Drosophila melanogaster: one gene and its partners. The protein of the gene in region 3 binds, or shares a complex with, the protein of the main gene of each other region. Each region holds a gene or a part of one and is shown on either strand. Other genes may lie near its edges.

Region 1 (8,523 bases), on a different chromosome or scaffold from region 3:
GATCGCTCCTGAACCGTTCGCGAATCGCTGCTACACTTGCGCGTGCGCGACGAGACTGGCGAGCTCTTGTCCAGGTCGCTGAATCGTTCCACCTTTATGGGTCGGTGGCTTTCCACGTCCTTCTTCTTCTTGCGGACCTTCTTGGAGACCTCCGTGGATGTCGTCGTGTTGCTGGCCACCGTATCGTCCGGTCGCGCTGCCTCCGTTGTTACAGAGGAGACGGTGGTCACATTTGCCGTGGAGACCGCATTGGTTAACGGGGGCACTGCTTCGGTACTGAGTTTCTCGCGCTTTACCTTCACGCGGAGTGTCTTCGTGGTGTTCACGTCCTCTGTGACTGAGGCCTCCTCCGGAGGCTTTTGCTGCTCAGCTGTTTCTGCTGCTGGCTCTTCTAGTTCCGGCTCCGCTAGTTTATTTTCCTCTAACGCCTGTGCACTGGTGAAGCTGTTAAACTGGGAGACTCGCTGCTCGCTCTCAACCTTGACCTTTACGAGCTCCTCGCTGCTGGGCCGCCGCATCTTACGGTTGAGTGAGGGCTCCTTGAGTAATTTCTCGGTCTTCAGCTTAGCGGCTCGCTGTGGCCTTCCGGAGCCGAGGGTGGTGTCCGCCGAGACGGGCACAGGCGGAGGCGGCATCAGCGAGGCCGTGGAGTTGTGCTCGTCCTCGGCGATAGCCAGCAACTGGGAGTTGCTGACCCGAGTGCTTTGACGGGCCGACGTGTTGTTGGCCGTGGCGTCTGGAGCTGCTCAAATGGAATATCACAGGGGTTGTTGGTCGTTAATGCTTTAAAATGGCCAGGATACTCACCCTCGGGCTCATTCTGATCCTCGGCCAGTGAGGTGAGTCGCTTGGGGCGCTTTTTCGTTTGCTGCGGCGTCACCGAAGAGTTCTCCTGACTCTTCGCTGCCGGAGCACTGTCCCTCGGTTTGGCCTCCGCCTCCGGCTGGCCTGTGCCGTAGAAGAGGTGGTCCAGCTCCTCAAAGTGGGCCTAAAAAACACATATGACGCCATGTTGACAGTGTCGGAATTTCGTCTCCTGATCCTGGCTTACCTTGCGCAGGACCTCGAGCTCCCTGCGCAGGTCCGAAAGCGAGCCCAGCACGCCCAAGATGTCCTCCATATCTAGCGACTGTATCTGACAAACTGCAAATCCGGATTCGGTTCCTTCGATTTTATCGTTTTTTTCAAATGGCGGCAATTGCGACGCGCGTCAGCATTTGATAACATGCCTTTAATTGTGCACTGTTGACAGTTAACAGCTCGTCGGGTGCTGTAAGGCGCATTTATGCCTCTGCTTTCCAACACTGCACGGGCGATAAAGTTCCCGCGCAAAATGAAAAACACAACCAAAACTTGTTTTTTGAGTGAATATTGGGAGATATTTATTTGAATTCTTTAAAATAATATTATTGGGTTATTTAAATAGTTACGTACTGGATTTCTAGCCCTGTAAATTTTGAAAGTATAACATTAGGTGAACCAGTTCCAATACGTTCCCGCCACTACCATCTCTAGAAAGCAGTGCTGCACGGCTCCCCAAAAAACATATTGTAAACAAATTTGAGGGAAAATGGTAAGGGAAAGAACAAAAAGGAACATTTAAATTATAAATATAGATTACGGAAGAGAATTAATTTGCGTAAAGGACCGGAAATATTTCAAACAAGTTTCAGCAAACGTCCAGTGCTGCACAAGCACTTCCGACGATAGTATCGCCATGGCGAGCTGACCAGCAAGCCCATCTCTAGCACATTTGTTAAAAAATTTGCAACAAGCCAACGAAAATCGACCAGGAACGGTGGACAGCCAAAACCGCGCGCTCTGCGACGACCACCGTGGGATGCACATACGTATGCGCAGCCGTGCCGCGGAGTAGACACAGTGCCCGCGATCCGCGACCAGCGAACCGCCAAACCCCGAGAAGCCAGCTGCAGCAGATCCACAGATCGCGCCGCAGATCCAGATCATGGGCCTCGACTTCGACGCAGTGGAATACTGCAAAGGGGTGAAGACCCAGCAGTCCCAGCCGCCTTTCGCCTGTCCCGTCCGCGGCTGCGACCGCAGCTACAAGACCATCATGGGTCTGCAATACCATCTTATGAAGTACGACCACGACAACCCACAGCCGCTCACGCCCGTGCTGACTCCGAGCCGCAAGAAGGCGCGCTCACGCTCCGGCGGCCACCACTCCACGCCTCGTCCGCACAAGGATCACCCCACGCCGGGTGGCGGTGGAGCTGAGGCCAGAAACGGCTGCTCCTCGGCCAGCGCAGGAGGTGGATCGGCGAGCGGAGTCAGCGCCCGGCAGTACGCCAATCCAGAGTCACTGGTGTCCTACAACGAGGAGGAGGCCACGGTGACGTTTAACTTGGACGGGAAGAGCGTGCGCCTGGGCATCGACGACGCCTTGCCGCTCGTAGAGGACGAAGAGTTCGCCGCCCTAGTGGCCAGGGGCTGTATTCTGAATGCCGACGCACCACCGCTGGAGGAGAACGCGCCCTGGGCAAGGGTCCAGGTGCCCGTGGCCAGGGTGGCCGAGATTCCGGACTACCGAGTGTCCGACGCCCCGCCACGGCCGCTGGCCTACTATCGCTTCATCGAAAAGTCCCTGGAGGAGCTGGACGGGGAGGTGGAGTACGACGTTGACGAGGAGGACTCCGCCTGGCTGGAGCACATGAACGAGGAGCGCCAGCGACTCGGCCTGAACGCCGTGGGCATCGACACGATGGAGCTGCTGATGGACCGGCTGGAGAAGGAGTCGCACTTCCAGGCGGCGGCCAACGGCACACCCACAGGCGTCGAGGTGGACGACGACGCAGTCTGCTGCATTTGCCTCGACGGCGAGTGCCAAAACACCAACGTGATACTTTTCTGCGACATGTGCAACCTGGCGGTACACCAGGACTGCTACGGTGTCCCCTATATCCCGGAGGGCCAGTGGCTGTGCCGCCGATGCTTGCAGTCACCCAGTAAGCCTGTGAACTGTGTGCTCTGTCCCAATGCGGGCGGCGCATTCAAGCAGACGGACCACGGGCAGTGGGCGCACGTGGTGTGTGCGCTTTGGATACCGGAAGTGCGGTTCGCCAACACCGTCTTTCTGGAGCCAATAGGTGCGTAGCTCGATCTCCCAGTTTCTTTGATCCCAGTTCCAAATAACATCTGAGTTCTTTTTATAGATTCAATTGAGACCATTCCCCCCGCTCGTTGGCGACTCACCTGCTACGTGTGCAAGGAGAAGGGCTTGGGAGCCTGCATCCAGTGCCATCGGAACAGCTGCTACGCCGCCTTCCACGTTACATGCGCACAGCAAGCGGGCCTCTACATGACCATGGACACGGTTAAGGACGGGCACAACGATTCGTCCATGCATGTTCAGAAGTTTGCCTACTGCCACGCCCACACGCCGGCCGACGCCAAGCTCAAGATGAACGTGCCTGACTTCGAGGACACGCGTCACAAGATGAAGGAGGCGCGCAAGGCGTTGGCCAAGAAGCGCTCCACAGCGCCCGTGGTGCTGATTCCGACTATTCCGCCGGACCGCGTTCAGGAGATAGCAACAATGGTTACGATGCAGCGCAAGAAAGAGTTCCTTGACCGCATTATCGCCTATTGGACGCTTAAGCGACACTACCGCAACGGGGTTCCCCTCCTACGACGCTTGCAGAGCCAAGGGAACAACCACGGCGTGATACAGCGCAACGGCATTGAAGGATCGCCGGACACCGGCGAGCTGTACCGCCAGCTTAAGTACTGGCAGTGCCTTCGGCAGGATCTGGAGCGAGCGCGCCTCTTGTGCGAGTTGGTGCGCAAGCGCGAGAAGCTGAAAGTGGCTTTTGTTCGCATTTCCGAGGAGGTGGTCATGCTGCAGCTCAATCCGCTGGAGGCGGCACTGAACAAGCTGCTCGATGCTCTGGAGGCGAGAGACAGCATGCAGATTTTCCGAGAGCCGGTGGACACCAGCGAGGTGCCCGACTACACTGACATTGTGAAACAACCCATGGATCTGGGCACGATGAGGGCTAAGCTGAAGGAGTGTCAGTACAACTCGCTGGAGCAGTTAGAAGCTGACTTTGACCTGATGATTCAGAACTGTTTGGCGTACAACAACAAGGATACGGTGTTCTATCGTGCTGGAATCCGGATGCGCGACCAGGCTGCGCCGCTCTTTGTCCAGGTAAGGAAGGAGCTGCAGCGGGATGGCCTGCTGGCGCGATCACAACGCTACCACGTCGACCACGTGGAAGCGGAGGTGGAACAGGAGCTACGCTTGCTGCTGGCGGCGCCGGCCAGCGAGGGCATCGTCCAGAAGCTGCTCATTCTAGCCGACAAGTCGCAGGTGCTGAAGAACCCGACGTATCGCACCAAGAAGATAAAGCAGATTCGGTTGGAGATTTCTCGAATGCGCAAAAGCCTCCAGAAGGCGAGATTCGCAGCAGTGAGTATTGATTTTTACCCTATATGGTTCCAAAACTAATTCATATTTTTCCACAGCGTCACTCCTCGCACGCTAACCAATCCCAAAGCGACGATGAAGACACGTTGGGCGGTTCGCCTTCTAAGAAGCGCACCCGGAAACGATTCAATAGCAGTGGGGTGGACATGGAACTGGGGCATGATGATGATGATGAAGAAGAGGATTCCGATGAGGATTCGATGGGCGAGGATACTGTTTCCAAGGACTTGCTCAATTCCACGCAAACGCCGCCCTGCAGCCCCATTAAGAGTTTAAACAACAGCAGCTCTCCCGTAGGCATCAATAGAAGGTAAGTAACTTGATGAAGTCCCTCGACCATTAACCTTCCTGGTACTTTTCCACCAGGCAAATAGCTTTAGTGTTTACAAGAGCTTTTCCAATCGAAATCGTAACCTTTAGGTTTCTAGTTATGGATGTTCTTTAATTTTGAATATTCTTTATTTGGTGGTCAATCCAATACTTAAAATCTGTAAAATCCGTTTCAGAACCGCCATATTGTTAACGCGCAAGGCACAGGCTGCCCTAAAGAGACCGTCGGAGCCGTTGACGACGCCTGTTAAAGAGGAGCAGCACAATTCGCAGTCGTCCAACACGCAATCCACCAGCGGTAGCTCATCCTCCGTCACCACGGCGGCCACGGCCGCGTCTAGTGGAGCGGGCACTCTGAATCACGTCCTGTCCTCCGCACCGCCAACTGCCTCCAGCTTCGCGTTGACGCAGAACAACAGCAGTGGCGGTGGAGCTCTGGCATCGGGAACTGGAATAGGAGGGTCGTCCTCAGCGGGAACCGCTGCAGCGGCGAGCTTGACCTCTACGGCCCTCGCAATGAACAGTAAGCTAAGCGCGAATCTGCCTGTCAAGTCGCCCAAAAGACCAGGACGCTATCGTCGGGTGCCGGAAGTGAGGCACAGCTCCTCCATGTCACCAAAGAAGTCGCCCAATCCGGCGGTGACCGTCAGCCAGGCACTACCCATGCCCGAGACCCTACCCTTTGAACGAATACCGGACAGCTTTCGGGTGTATAGAGCCAATAATCAGCGCGACGTTAGTGACAGCGACGACGCTCCCTCGCAGTCGAGCAGTCCGTGCAGCAGTTGCTCAGACTTCAGCATGTCGGGCAGCTGCTCTGACTTTGACAGCGATGAGGCTAGCGAAGGCGATGCTGATGGAGATCCTGACAGAGATGGCGGAAGGAGTCGCAGCGAGGAGAGGGACTCCACGTCGCAGGAGGGCACCACCGACGCCATGGACATGCAGCACGCCAGCCTTAACAATGTTCAGGGAAACAACGGCAACATGGCCATTAGCAGCAGCAGCGGAGGAAGTGGTGGCAGCTCCAGCGAAGATGACGAGCTTGAGGAGCGGCCACTGAGCGCGCGGCAGAACAAGCCGATGAAGGTGGGAACGCGAGGAACGCCCACTCCTACGACAATGGCACGAGCAGTAGCTTTGTCAGCGGGTCGGGGACGTGGCAAGCGGCGAAGCAATCTCAGCGAGTCCACCAGCTCCACGGCCACGCCACCGCCACTGCGAAGAGCTGGAAAGCTGCGGTCAGCCACGCCCAACGCCTCTCCCCTGGTGAACAACATCAAGGCGCGTAGGAACACCACGGCGGCTGGCAGTGCACCTCTCACGAATAATAACCGCAGCAAGCACAGTGAGGATTCCGCCTCGTCGGAGAGGCACAATAACCACTCGCACGGCCAGAAGCCGGCGCTGGAGCCGCTTCAGCTGGTTTGGGCCAAGTGCCGTGGCTATCCCTGGTATCCCGCACTCATCCTTGATCCCAAGACGCCCAAGGGATTTGTGTACAACGGAGTGCCGCTGCCCGCCCCACCCACCGATGTGCTGGCGCTGCGGAAGAACTGCCTCGACGAGATTGTGTTCCTGGTGCTTTTCTTCGATGTTAAGCGCACCTGGCAGTGGCTGCCGGCCAACAAGCTGGACATCCTCGGGATCGACAAGCAGCTCGACCAGCAAAAGCTGGTGGAGTCGCGAAAGCCGGCGGAGCGGAAGGCCGTAAAGAAGGCGTACCAGGACGCGCTACACTACCAGAGCCAAGTCTCCGACTTGGAGGGCCAAGGACCCGATCCGATCATGTGAAAGCTGATGGCCCGATTGCAACTGTAGGCGCCGCTCGAAAGAATTCAGCCATTTAGTTAGCTCCCCCACAAGGGATCGCCGTATTTTTATATCTCGTTGTTGTTACTTGATACTCGAAGATGACGCAGTTGAAGAAGGCCCTCCATTAGAGTATTTCGTTGGCGAATTTCCAATTTGCACTGCAAGTGTCTTTAATTTTCGTTTGTTGCCAAGCCAAGTCACCAAGGATCGTTTACCCCAATACCATTATGTACAGTACAGTTTTTGTAATAGGCGCAGTTGGCGAAATCGTTGGAGGATCCTTACCCTTGTACATTATTTGGCTTTTGAGACTTCGATTGTGAAATGTTAAGTAGATCCAGGAATCGCTCGAACTACAGCAACATGGAATTTATAACCTCAAGACGATTCACGCGAAATCAAATCAATGTTTAAGTTAAATAGTTTTAAGCTCTCCTACTGTTAAGCCCGGAATCAACATTATAAGCACAAAACCAACCGCTAAAACCAAGCAAGCAGTCGCCTCAAGTTAAAGTCGTGTAAAAACTAGCCGCTATATAGGGGACTAGAGATGATTATAAACATTTACAAATAGCATTACAAATTGTATAGATGTGAGTGTGTGTGTGCGCGTGAGTCTCCATAAATCGATTTATCTCTATATGCAAATAGTGTACGTCTTGATTTCCACATGAACAAATAAACCATTTGATTATTGCGATGTATTAAAGAGATGCGGATTATTATTATTATTATTATTATTATTATTATTATTATAATTACTGTGTGTAATTAATGCAACACTTTCGTATGCCTAAGTGGAACGCGTAGATAATTAAGTATTGAAGTAGTTGGCTCCCGTACCCCCCAGCTCCGCCACCCAAAAACTCAATCCACACCAGTCCACCACCTTTGCCCTTAAAAAGATCGAACATTGTTTAAACCTAATGGTAAATACAAGCAGAAAAATAAATGTTTTAAACGAAATCATTTCACTTTAATAGCCTTTGTACTCATCAGTTTGACATGCATTCGACTGGCCCACAGTTTTGGCAGCTTCGCATCGCAATCGCGATCGACACCAAAAGTGCGTCAGTGGGGTTCGACAGGAATTGACTTATATTTACTTTGAGTATCCCCAGTTCGTTCACCGGGTTTTGAGGGGTCCGCTAACAGTGTCATATTCACCCCACATCAATTATCACCCCGGCAGATGTTTTGTTTTACAGTTTTCGGCAGTACGGTTTTAGCCCGGGCACATGACACGTGATTCACCTGCACCTGCTCCACGGTAATTGGCTTTCGATTTCATCCCATCTGGCTGGCTAAACACTCTTATGAAATCTTACATTACATGTATCTAATTTACTTTACTAAAGCAATAATTTAATTGAAATAATGATTTAGGAACTTGGAAATGCAGTTAAATGATAAACCAAAAATTGATTATTTCATGAGGGTATTCATTCATATTTACTGCCCAACAATTTTCGAGAATAGTATCTTTCGTTCAAAACCCATAAGTCACGGCTCGGAGGCATGATTAAGCCAATTAATTTGAGGAGCAAACAAACCCATAAGATTGAGCAAAACGATTAAAACAGAGCGTAAACAAAGTGTTTTTTGTGAAAAATTAAGTTGTTTGCGTGACAAGTGCAACGCTCAACAAAAATAAATCTTGAAATATTCTCTACGCATTTTTCACGTGCTCAGACTTGAGAAACCGCGCCAATTGTGTTTGGGCCACAGTTCGCAAACAACTCAAGTGCTAAGCCCGGCTCAAAGTTGTCAGACCGGGCTTATTCACAGCTACCGTTCATTGGCGGCAATCGAGGAGCTATTAAACAACTCAATTTGAATTTAACTGTAGATGATAGAACGCCCAAACGGCCAGCTGCTGACCTCAATTAGCAATGCATATTTATCACCCCTGTTGGCCTATCCGG
Region 2 (4,148 bases), on a different chromosome or scaffold from region 3:
AATGCCTTTGGCCTTGACCGGAGTCACCTATCTGGCTGATAACGTTGTGAACAACGAGGAGTGGCAGCCTCGCGTGGGCGACGAAGGGCATTGCTGGATCTATAGTGGGTTCTGTTTTGTATCCGGCTTGTGGTACCAGCTCACCAATGTTTTTCTTTCCACCCTCAGCTAAAAGCTGGTCTGCAATGGTGTACTTCTATGGACCGATGGTGCTCCTGATTCTCTTCAACATAACTATGTTTGTTCTGACGGCTAAACACATAATAGATTCCAAGAGGACTCTTCGAAAGATTGCTCGCAATGAAGGTAGAATACAGAAGCTGAATTCGGACAAACAGAAGTATATCAATTATAATAGTTGAAAATGTCAGTTTAAGATAAATATTATCAATTCGTTACAGTTACACACAATTTCTGCTGCTCTTCACTGTGATGGGGATGTCGTGGAGCTTTGAGATATTCTCCTACTTGGTGCAACGCGAGAAACTGTGGGTCAATATCTTTCTGGTAGCTGACTACTTCAACTGGTCCCAAGGCGTCATTATATTTGTGCTATTCATTCTGCGGCGCAAAACTCTTGTACTATTCAAGAAACAGTAAGTCTTATAGTTCATAGTTCGGGTAACCAGTTCCCTAAAATGTCTCTTTTCAGAATATTTCCCAAACAGAGAGCCTTTAGTAGATCTGCAACTCAAAGTACGATTGAATCCATTTCTCAAACAAAAAGGCATTTTAACATGACATAGTATTTTCTTCTCTTCGAATTAATCAATTTAATAGTAAAGTATAACTTTTTTTCTCACAAAATGTATGAATATATTTCACTTCATTCTACATTCTATATAGAATTCATTTAATCACAAAATGTATGAATATTTTTCTTTATATGACGTGCATCGACTATAGAAAATCGACTATAGTGTGCCACAATATATTTTACTCATCATTTCCTAATCAAACTATTGCAAACTTAACTTTGAGCCGAGGAAAAACCCTGTATGTCTATCAAAACTATGAGTCAAAAGTATGACGCGATGCTGAAAGTAGTTGCCTTTAAATATTGAAGTGATAAATGTAGAAAGAAGACATTTGTATGGAAATAAACTAAGTTTGTAAATCTACATTCGCTTTATTTCATGTACAAATTTTAATTTAAAAACTTTGAAGGTAAATAGTGCTTTATCAGATGCGGATTACACGGTAGCAGTTATCATCGATGTCGAATCTTCTTGTTTATGTGACCGCTTTTCTTCGCTGTCGCACTGGAGTTCGTGGATAGTTTGCTCTTTGTATTCGAAGTGGGTGTGCCGAGGAGATCCTTGTTCCCTCCACTGTTCGTAGATCCAGACACCATTCCGCTCACTACGCTGCCCTCATTGCGATGCGAGGGTGAATCTGTAAATAAAAAGGTGTAATTAAACATATATACTTTTCTGGAGAAAAGCGCTAAAGTTGAATCTCAATGTGCTGTGCTGCCTTACCCTTTTCGTCTTTCGGTGTGCTCTTGATTGTCGTGGTTCCGTCGTGGGCCGTTGTGGTGTTCTGATTGATTGAGATCTGATTGTCGCTGGAGTCTTCATTTGTGATGGAATCCGATTCGCTGGCGCGCTCAGCTAAAGGCGAATAAACATACTCATGTATGGCAACTAAAGCGTATCAATTTACACCCTTCTGGGCATAAAGCCTAGATCGATTACACAAGCGAATGACACAGTATGAATTATCCCCCACTTACGATTGCATATAGCCATGGAGGTGATGCTGGACTTGGAGAACAGGCGCTCGGCCTCCTTGAACTTGCGATTCCGCTTGTCGGCCTTGGAGTTGGTGGCCTTGTTGGAGGTCAGATAGCGCTCCCAGCCTCGGATGATGTTTCCGCACAACTGCGTGTCCTCTAGGTAGGAGCCCTCGAAGGCGTAGATCTGTCGCTCCAGATTGGCCAGTTGTTCCTGTCATTTATGCAACAAAAAAATGATAAAGTGCTGCGATTTCGGGTTTGTTTATATTGTGTCTCACCGATGTTTCGGCCTTCTTCTTGATGAGGTCCGCCAACTCGGCGCGAGTGTCCATGGAGCCGCCTTTCGTATTCGAGCTCGTTTTGGCCGACTTCTTTGGCTTGTTCCCGTTCGTTTCGCTGACATTTTTACTCGTTGGCGAGCTCATATTTTCAGAAAATGCTCGAATTTCAACAAATTTATATTTTGTTTTGGACAATGTGACCGGATATTGATAAAAAGTAATTACAATTAATCGATTTACGGATATCTGTTCCGACTATCGGTTTATGTCTTTGCTGAAATATGCATGCTAGTTCTTAACCTAATTGCATAGGTGGCGTTGTCGTTTTTCTTTAACAAGCTAATTTATAAACTATTAGTTTGAATGAATAAGTCTTATATTATTTGTGTATATGTTTTATAGATTCTTTAAATGTTAGTTTCTGCACTTAAAATTCAAAGTTATTTCATAATAAATCCATTGAAAGTTTGTTAATACTGCATTTATTCACTTTTGTAAGTGAATAGGACTGCCGAAATCAAAAAATAGCCCAGGAAAAAAAAAAACTGGTCAAAGAACTCAGTTACAAAACTTGATGACCATTTATTTTTGTAAGATTTTTCTTATTAGATCCATATGTTTTTTTTCACATTTTCTTAGATTTTATTTAACAGTGCTTGCCCCTTCACCACTTTGCATTTTGAAGCCAGTGTGGCTGCCATTGACCTCTCGTCTTGTTATTTTTATTTATGCGTATACCACGGACAAAAGATTCAGTTCAGCTGTAGCGCCATCATCATCGTCTTTTTGATGGTGATCTTCTAATGATCTCCCCGTGGGTCTTGCATAGTTTGTTGACCCAAGTTCGTTTCAAAGTTTGTTGAACTGCCGAAAAAAAGTGAAGCTACCGTTCTAGCTCTCTATTTCTTTCCGAACCCTCTTTCCTCTTTTTCCGCCTTTCGCTCTCTTGCCGCCTACTCTTTCTCTTTTACTTGGCTCTATTTTGGCTACCGCTTTTTATGGGCCTTCGTCGTCGCGCCTATTTCACTTTCGTCATACGCGGCGTATGCGTGATTTTATTTCTGCAGCACATCGCCTTTCGCGCTGACTATAGGAAAGCAATATAAAGTGAGGCTGCGGATGAAGACGAACTCGATTAGAAAATGAAATCATAATGCAGCGGGCAGCAAAAGCGAAACGGCAACGACCGTTGCAAGTCGCTGACTAAAGCAAAGTCTGCCATTCCGTCGTGTTCCACTAACACAATCGACTTAGTGACTAGGTGACTAACTGGCTCAGTGGCTAAGTGACCGACTGACTGACAGACTGCAGTCTATTCAATGTATGTCAAACATTGGCGCGCGCTTATTCGCGAAACAACAAAAAGTGCAGCAAAAAAACTTTCATTTTATTTAAACAAACACACAAGGCGCGGCCTGGACTTAGACTTGGAAAAACTTATTTATATTTGGTTTTAAGCAAACATCTGCCAACTGAAAACTCTGACGTTCGATCGTCTTAAGCCACCTTCTTCTGGTTTACACTGGGAAAAATATTTAGAAGTTTATTGTGGCTGTCAATAAAGATACGTTAGTTAGTTACTTCTTAATGTATTTGTAACTTCTTCGATACATTTTTATTAATATACATATATTTTTTAACTTAGTTTTTAGTTTGTTGCTTACTGCAACTGTTTTTGGTCAGTGCTGCCATTGGATGGCAGCTTACTATAATTTTTATGATGAATTGCCTGGCCGCGTGTGAAATCTGCAGCAGTCGCAGCATTGGCCGGTGGAAAAGTGGAAAACTGCCAGAAAAGTGGAACACAGCTAAAGAAGCAGCAGTGTTGCAAGTGCAACAACTGCGGCAGCAGCAGCAACACAAACACTCTCGACTAATTAGCTGCGTTTTAGAAATTCAGGCGGCAATGAAAACAAAATCGAGTTCAATGCTTGCAACGATGACGTTGTTGTTGCACTCCGCTTAGTGTGTTTTCGACTTTTCCGAGAATTTCACATATAGCATACATAGGCCGAGCCGGCGCTTTCCCAACGCCAAGCGAGTGAAAATGAGTCTGCTTCATTTTGGGCAGATAGCGAAAACTGCAAGATGAAACGTTCAGCAAGAGCAATATTTTCAAGTAGCATATT
Region 3 (4,438 bases):
ACACTGACCACGCAGCACAGTAACAAAGTATCCCAGTTCCATAAGACCCTAAAAAATGCAACGGGCAAAAAACTGCTTAAGTTACAGGTAAATTTCAATCCAATAACGCTTTTTATTCAAAAACGATCACAAACATATTTCCAACATTCAAAACCTGCTTTCGAAAGTACATATTTGCCTTAACCCCTCACAATCCTTATAATAATAGTGTTCTTGCTTGAAAGTTCAAAGTTTAATTTGACTCTGCTAATTCGACTCCATTTGTATTTTTTTCAGAAGACTTGCTTGAAGAACAACAAGATTGATTACATCAAGCTGCTGGGCGAAATCGCCACGGAGAACCAGTTCGAGGTGACCTATGTGGACATAGAGGAGAAGACCTTCTCTGGCCAGTTCCAGTGCCTGGTTCAACTGTCCACGCTGCCCGTTGGCGTTTGCCACGGCAGCGGACCAACAGCTGCCGATGCCCAGCGGCATGCCGCCCAGAATGCCCTCGAGTACTTGAAGATCATGACCAAGAAGTAGGGGGTGCAGCCAACTGAATAGCAAAATCTGAACGCACACCACGACCACGATCACGAGTATTTGATGAGAGCGATTACCGAGTGGATACGGGATAACTAATGCACCAGTCTAATTGCTTTTCTTTCCACTTTTTGGCTCAATGCAGTGGCGATGTTACATATATATATATATATATTTTGTTTCTTTTCCACCGATTCCTTTGATTAGGCAGTTGTATTTGTTAACTGCATATGTAAATGTTCATATATGTACTACACTTACCGATGAATGTATGTACGCTTGCAAATACAGACAAGCGTGTAATCGATATTGGAATCTTCTAGTCGCTTTCAAATTCTGAAAAACGTAAAACGGCAGATAAAACTAGGTTTAAGGTAGACTACGTGCTAGTTTGCGAAGGAAAAAGGCTTATGAATATAATCGGTATTTGGTAATCGCTACTTTTGCAGTTTTCTTTTCCTTGGGCTGAAAAACTTTGTAAACTCCGAATTAAAGGGCATTGATGAATTGAAATTAATCAATCCAACTTTAGAAATATTCTGTGAAAACATCTTTTATGATATGGAATTATTTAACTACAAATTAGTTAGGAAATAAATTGACAAATATAATACTGAAGTTATAGTAGCCGTGGCTTTATTTAAATAGGTAATTTTGTGCTTAATCTAAAGTAGTATTCTAAGTAATCATAAAGGATTGCATCTATTTCTTCTTTCTGTCCTGCGTACACTTGGGACAGAACCACTTGCCCTTTGGCTTTGTGGTGAGGCCAACACAAGCGAAGTGAAACCACTCGATGGGACACTAAAATGGTAGAGTGAAAGATCTAGAACTGACCACAGAGTACATCAAAATCGAATACTCACGTCGGGATTGTCGCAGCCAATCATCTCTCCATAGGACACCTGGTGGCATAGGCAATATGTGGGCTCATTGGGATCGACGGGCATGTCCATAACGTCGCTGGGATGAGTGGCGGCCGTGTGGCACGATTCCTTCTCAGAGTCATCAACCTCGACGGTTTTCTAAATGGGTATGTTAGCAAAATGAGTAAGAATGGGGTTTCGACGATAGTGGAGGCGTGCATGTACATAAGTGAAAATGCAAACGATATGGAAAACAGTGGATAATGCAGGATTTCTATGGGGATAATCTATAAAAGTAAAGAGTATTCTATTTAGGGTCAATGAAAACTGGGAAACAGTAAACATACTAAAGTTCTAACAATGTATAGATGAGAATGTGGATGGTTTACCTTTTGAGCGCCCCCCTTGCGAGTTTCTTTTTCTTGATTTACCTTGGACTTTTTCTTTTTGCTACCTTGCCCGGCATTGCTGCTCGAATTGACACTGGAATTGGCGTTAGATTGGTTGTTGCCGCGCCCAGTTTCCTCATCCGAGGATGCGGACTTTTTCTTTTTGCCCGTCGTCTTGCTGTCCTTGGTTTTTTTGCGACCTTCTGTACAAATGGAATCAAAGGAAGGGGTCAGCTTGTGGAAGAATAGATACTTTGGAACAGTCTTACTCTTGGCCACCACTTCCTCGGATTTGGCACGCGTGGATGAGGCCTTCTCCTGAATCTCACCCTCGAAGCGTGCTAAATCGTTGTCCAGTCGCCGTATCTGCTTGTCCACTAGTTCGTAGGTCTGAATGGCCAGCTGCACCTTGTCGTCGCTGTACTCCTTGGCCTTTCCGAACAGTGCCTTGATATCCTCCTGGCGCTCCCTCCTCTCATCCTCGCTCATGGCCCCGTTCTCGCCCAGCTTGCGCATAAAGTCCTTGGCATGGCTATCGATGCTCTTCATCGCTGTTTGTGCTCGATCGTCTAATTTTCGCATCAGCTTAAAATTTCTCTCCAGCTCCGTTGGCAGACTTTCCAATCCTGTTTGTAAATCGTGAATAATATATGTTTTCGAGTGTTTTCCATGCTTAAGAATCTTCTTACCGTCTAAATAGTTCTCTAGGTATATAGCCGATGACATTTTCGGTGTCAAATATCGGATTTAACAAAGAATATGGAGTGTGTAAGCTAAATTCCAGCGTCTGTTTACGATAGCAACAGCTGTATTGTTGTACATGGGATATTTAGGGATGACAGCTCGCTTTTTAAAGTTATCGATTACTTTACAGTGGTTAAAAGCATAACCCAAAACAATTGGGCAGTGCTTAAATTTAAAAATTAAAAGAAAAAATAAAATATTTACATTAAGTAGATTTCGGATCGGATTTTGTGGTAGTTATTTGCTAAATCTTTGAAAAACTTTTAGTTACGACTGCGCAACAGCTGTTTTTAAGTGTGGTTACAACTTTATGATGGTTGGCAACTCTACATCTAGTATAATCACAATCAAAAACACTAATTTGTTTTGATAGCTCATTTTAAAGGTAAATTAAGTTTTGAAAAATGAGCGCCAGTTCCGGAGGATCCTGGATTAATGCCATCTACGATGAGGTAGCTCTGGAGGGTCTGGAGGGAGTGACATTGCCCTGTAAGAGATTTCCATGCCCTCCACACATCAACTCCAAGTTATTTGTTTATGCTTTTAGATCTCTGGGATCTTCTGGCCAGGCGACTGGAGTTTTTCCCCTCTCCGCTGCCTGACCGCATCCGGGAACAGACGTGGACCTTGCTGCTACGCACGCCGCCTCACAAGATCGAGTTCTTTGAACTGCCGGCGGAAAGACCACTAATGCCCTACTATGATCGCCTCAACGACATCGACGAGCAGCTGGGATTGCCCGTGGTGCCCGAGCAGTGTCCGTACATGTTGTTCCCGGCCGCCTATGTGCAAGAGGGCGACATTAAGGGTAATTGCAACGACTTCAAGACACGTAAGCTGATCCCTTCCAGCGATCTGCATTCTCTTAATGCCGCTCAAGCAACGGAACAGTGGGCGGGCAGGCTCGTAGTGGTGGCCTCCCAAGAGCTGCGGGAGACAGCACTCACGCCCGAAAGCCTCCTGATGCCCAAGAATCTGCCACTGCCCAACTACATCTTTCTGGAGGCCATCGGACGGTCTCGGTACAGCGGACACACCACCGCAGGCCCTTGGTCGCTTATAAACTACAGCAAGGACACAGGGATTCTCTTCTATATCAAGTGAGTTTTATGAACTATACTTATATTTAATATTTAAAATTACATTCCTTACAGAAACAAGTTGATAAATCTGCAGTTGATTATTGCCCAAAACTATAACGAAATTAACAAGGGACGCATCTTGGTCTCTTCGCTGCTGATGCTACCGCGCTTTTACCGCATCTACAAGAACCACTCTCAGGAAAATCTTGAAAAACTATACTTGGGAATAATGCGGACGCCAAGCCGCCAAGTGCCCGTCACCGAAATAACCGATCTTCTAGGCCGTCCTACCAATTTTAAGACAAAGAAATTGCTGGTGACCCACTCCTTTCGTAAGTTCTTCGAGACTAAGCAAGTTGAAAGGCCCGTTGCGCCACTGACAAAGTCGGGAAAGCAGTCCAAAGCAACCACACGCAAGGTGACAGTGATACAGCTGCGCAATCCGGATATGCAACTGAAGGACCTGTACAAGAACGACGACAGCGAGGATAATCAGGTATCCGAGTTCTTGGATCTGGGCCACTGCTTTCTTGATATGCCTCCGGAGGAGGAAGTTTTCCGCGCAGTGGCGAGATTCGGTAAACGTGGTCTTAATAGCAACGAGTTGTGCCACTACACGGGTATCAACGCCACCTACATGCGACACTTTGTGAAGCGAGTGAAAAAGCACGGCCTGGTCAAAGAGTACTCGGAGCAGGTGGGAAAGAGCCGGCAGTTCCGCTTTGTGGCCGTAGGACATTTGGGGGACCTTTCAAAAGAAGACGAGATCAAGAAAAAGGCACTGGAGATTAGGTGTAAGGATGAGCCGGTAAGTATATATATATATATATAT

The links.
Region 1: Ing5 (region 3) and Br140 share a complex: the UniProt entries of both Drosophila melanogaster proteins name them as parts of the enok complex.
Region 2: Ing5 (region 3) and Eaf6 share a complex: the UniProt entries of both Drosophila melanogaster proteins name them as parts of the enok complex.

The regions. Positions count from the first base shown.
Region 1 is NT_033778.4:7,271,326-7,279,848, reverse strand, and holds Br140 (Bromodomain-containing protein, 140kD), read left to right. Parts: upstream 1-1,747; 5' UTR 1,748-1,966; coding exon 1,967-3,110; intron 3,111-3,176; coding exon 3,177-4,435; intron 4,436-4,491; coding exon 4,492-4,763; intron 4,764-4,959; coding exon 4,960-6,577; 3' UTR 6,578-7,574; downstream 7,575-8,523. Other genes in the region: Incenp (inner centromere protein), read right to left, coding at 1-742, 808-988, 1,052-1,120. UniProt on the Drosophila melanogaster protein: Scaffold subunit of the histone acetyltransferase (HAT) Enok complex which has histone H3 acetyltransferase activity.
Region 2 is NT_037436.4:5,606,071-5,610,218, forward strand, and holds Eaf6 (Esa1-associated factor 6), read right to left. Parts: upstream 2,231-4,148; 5' UTR 2,164-2,230; coding exon 2,017-2,163; intron 1,950-2,016; coding exon 1,736-1,949; intron 1,614-1,735; coding exon 1,482-1,613; intron 1,396-1,481; coding exon 1,211-1,395; 3' UTR 1,092-1,210; downstream 1-1,091. Other genes in the region: mthl2 (methuselah-like 2), read left to right, coding at 1-104, 169-340, 402-596, 653-746. UniProt on the Drosophila melanogaster protein: Component of the Enok complex which has a histone H3 acetyltransferase activity. Might be involved in transcriptional activation of selected genes.
Region 3 is NT_033779.5:13,384,708-13,389,145, forward strand, and holds Ing5 (inhibitor of growth family member 5), read right to left. Parts: upstream 2,606-4,438; 5' UTR 2,507-2,605; coding exon 2,470-2,506; intron 2,407-2,469; coding exon 2,050-2,406; intron 1,984-2,049; coding exon 1,781-1,983; intron 1,551-1,780; coding exon 1,392-1,550; intron 1,330-1,391; coding exon 1,228-1,329; 3' UTR 1,141-1,227; downstream 1-1,140. Other genes in the region: loqs (loquacious), read left to right, coding at 1-87, 277-525; CG7099 (uncharacterized protein), read left to right, coding at 2,929-3,013, 3,072-3,624, 3,679-4,414. UniProt on the Drosophila melanogaster protein: Component of the Enok complex which has a histone H3 acetyltransferase activity.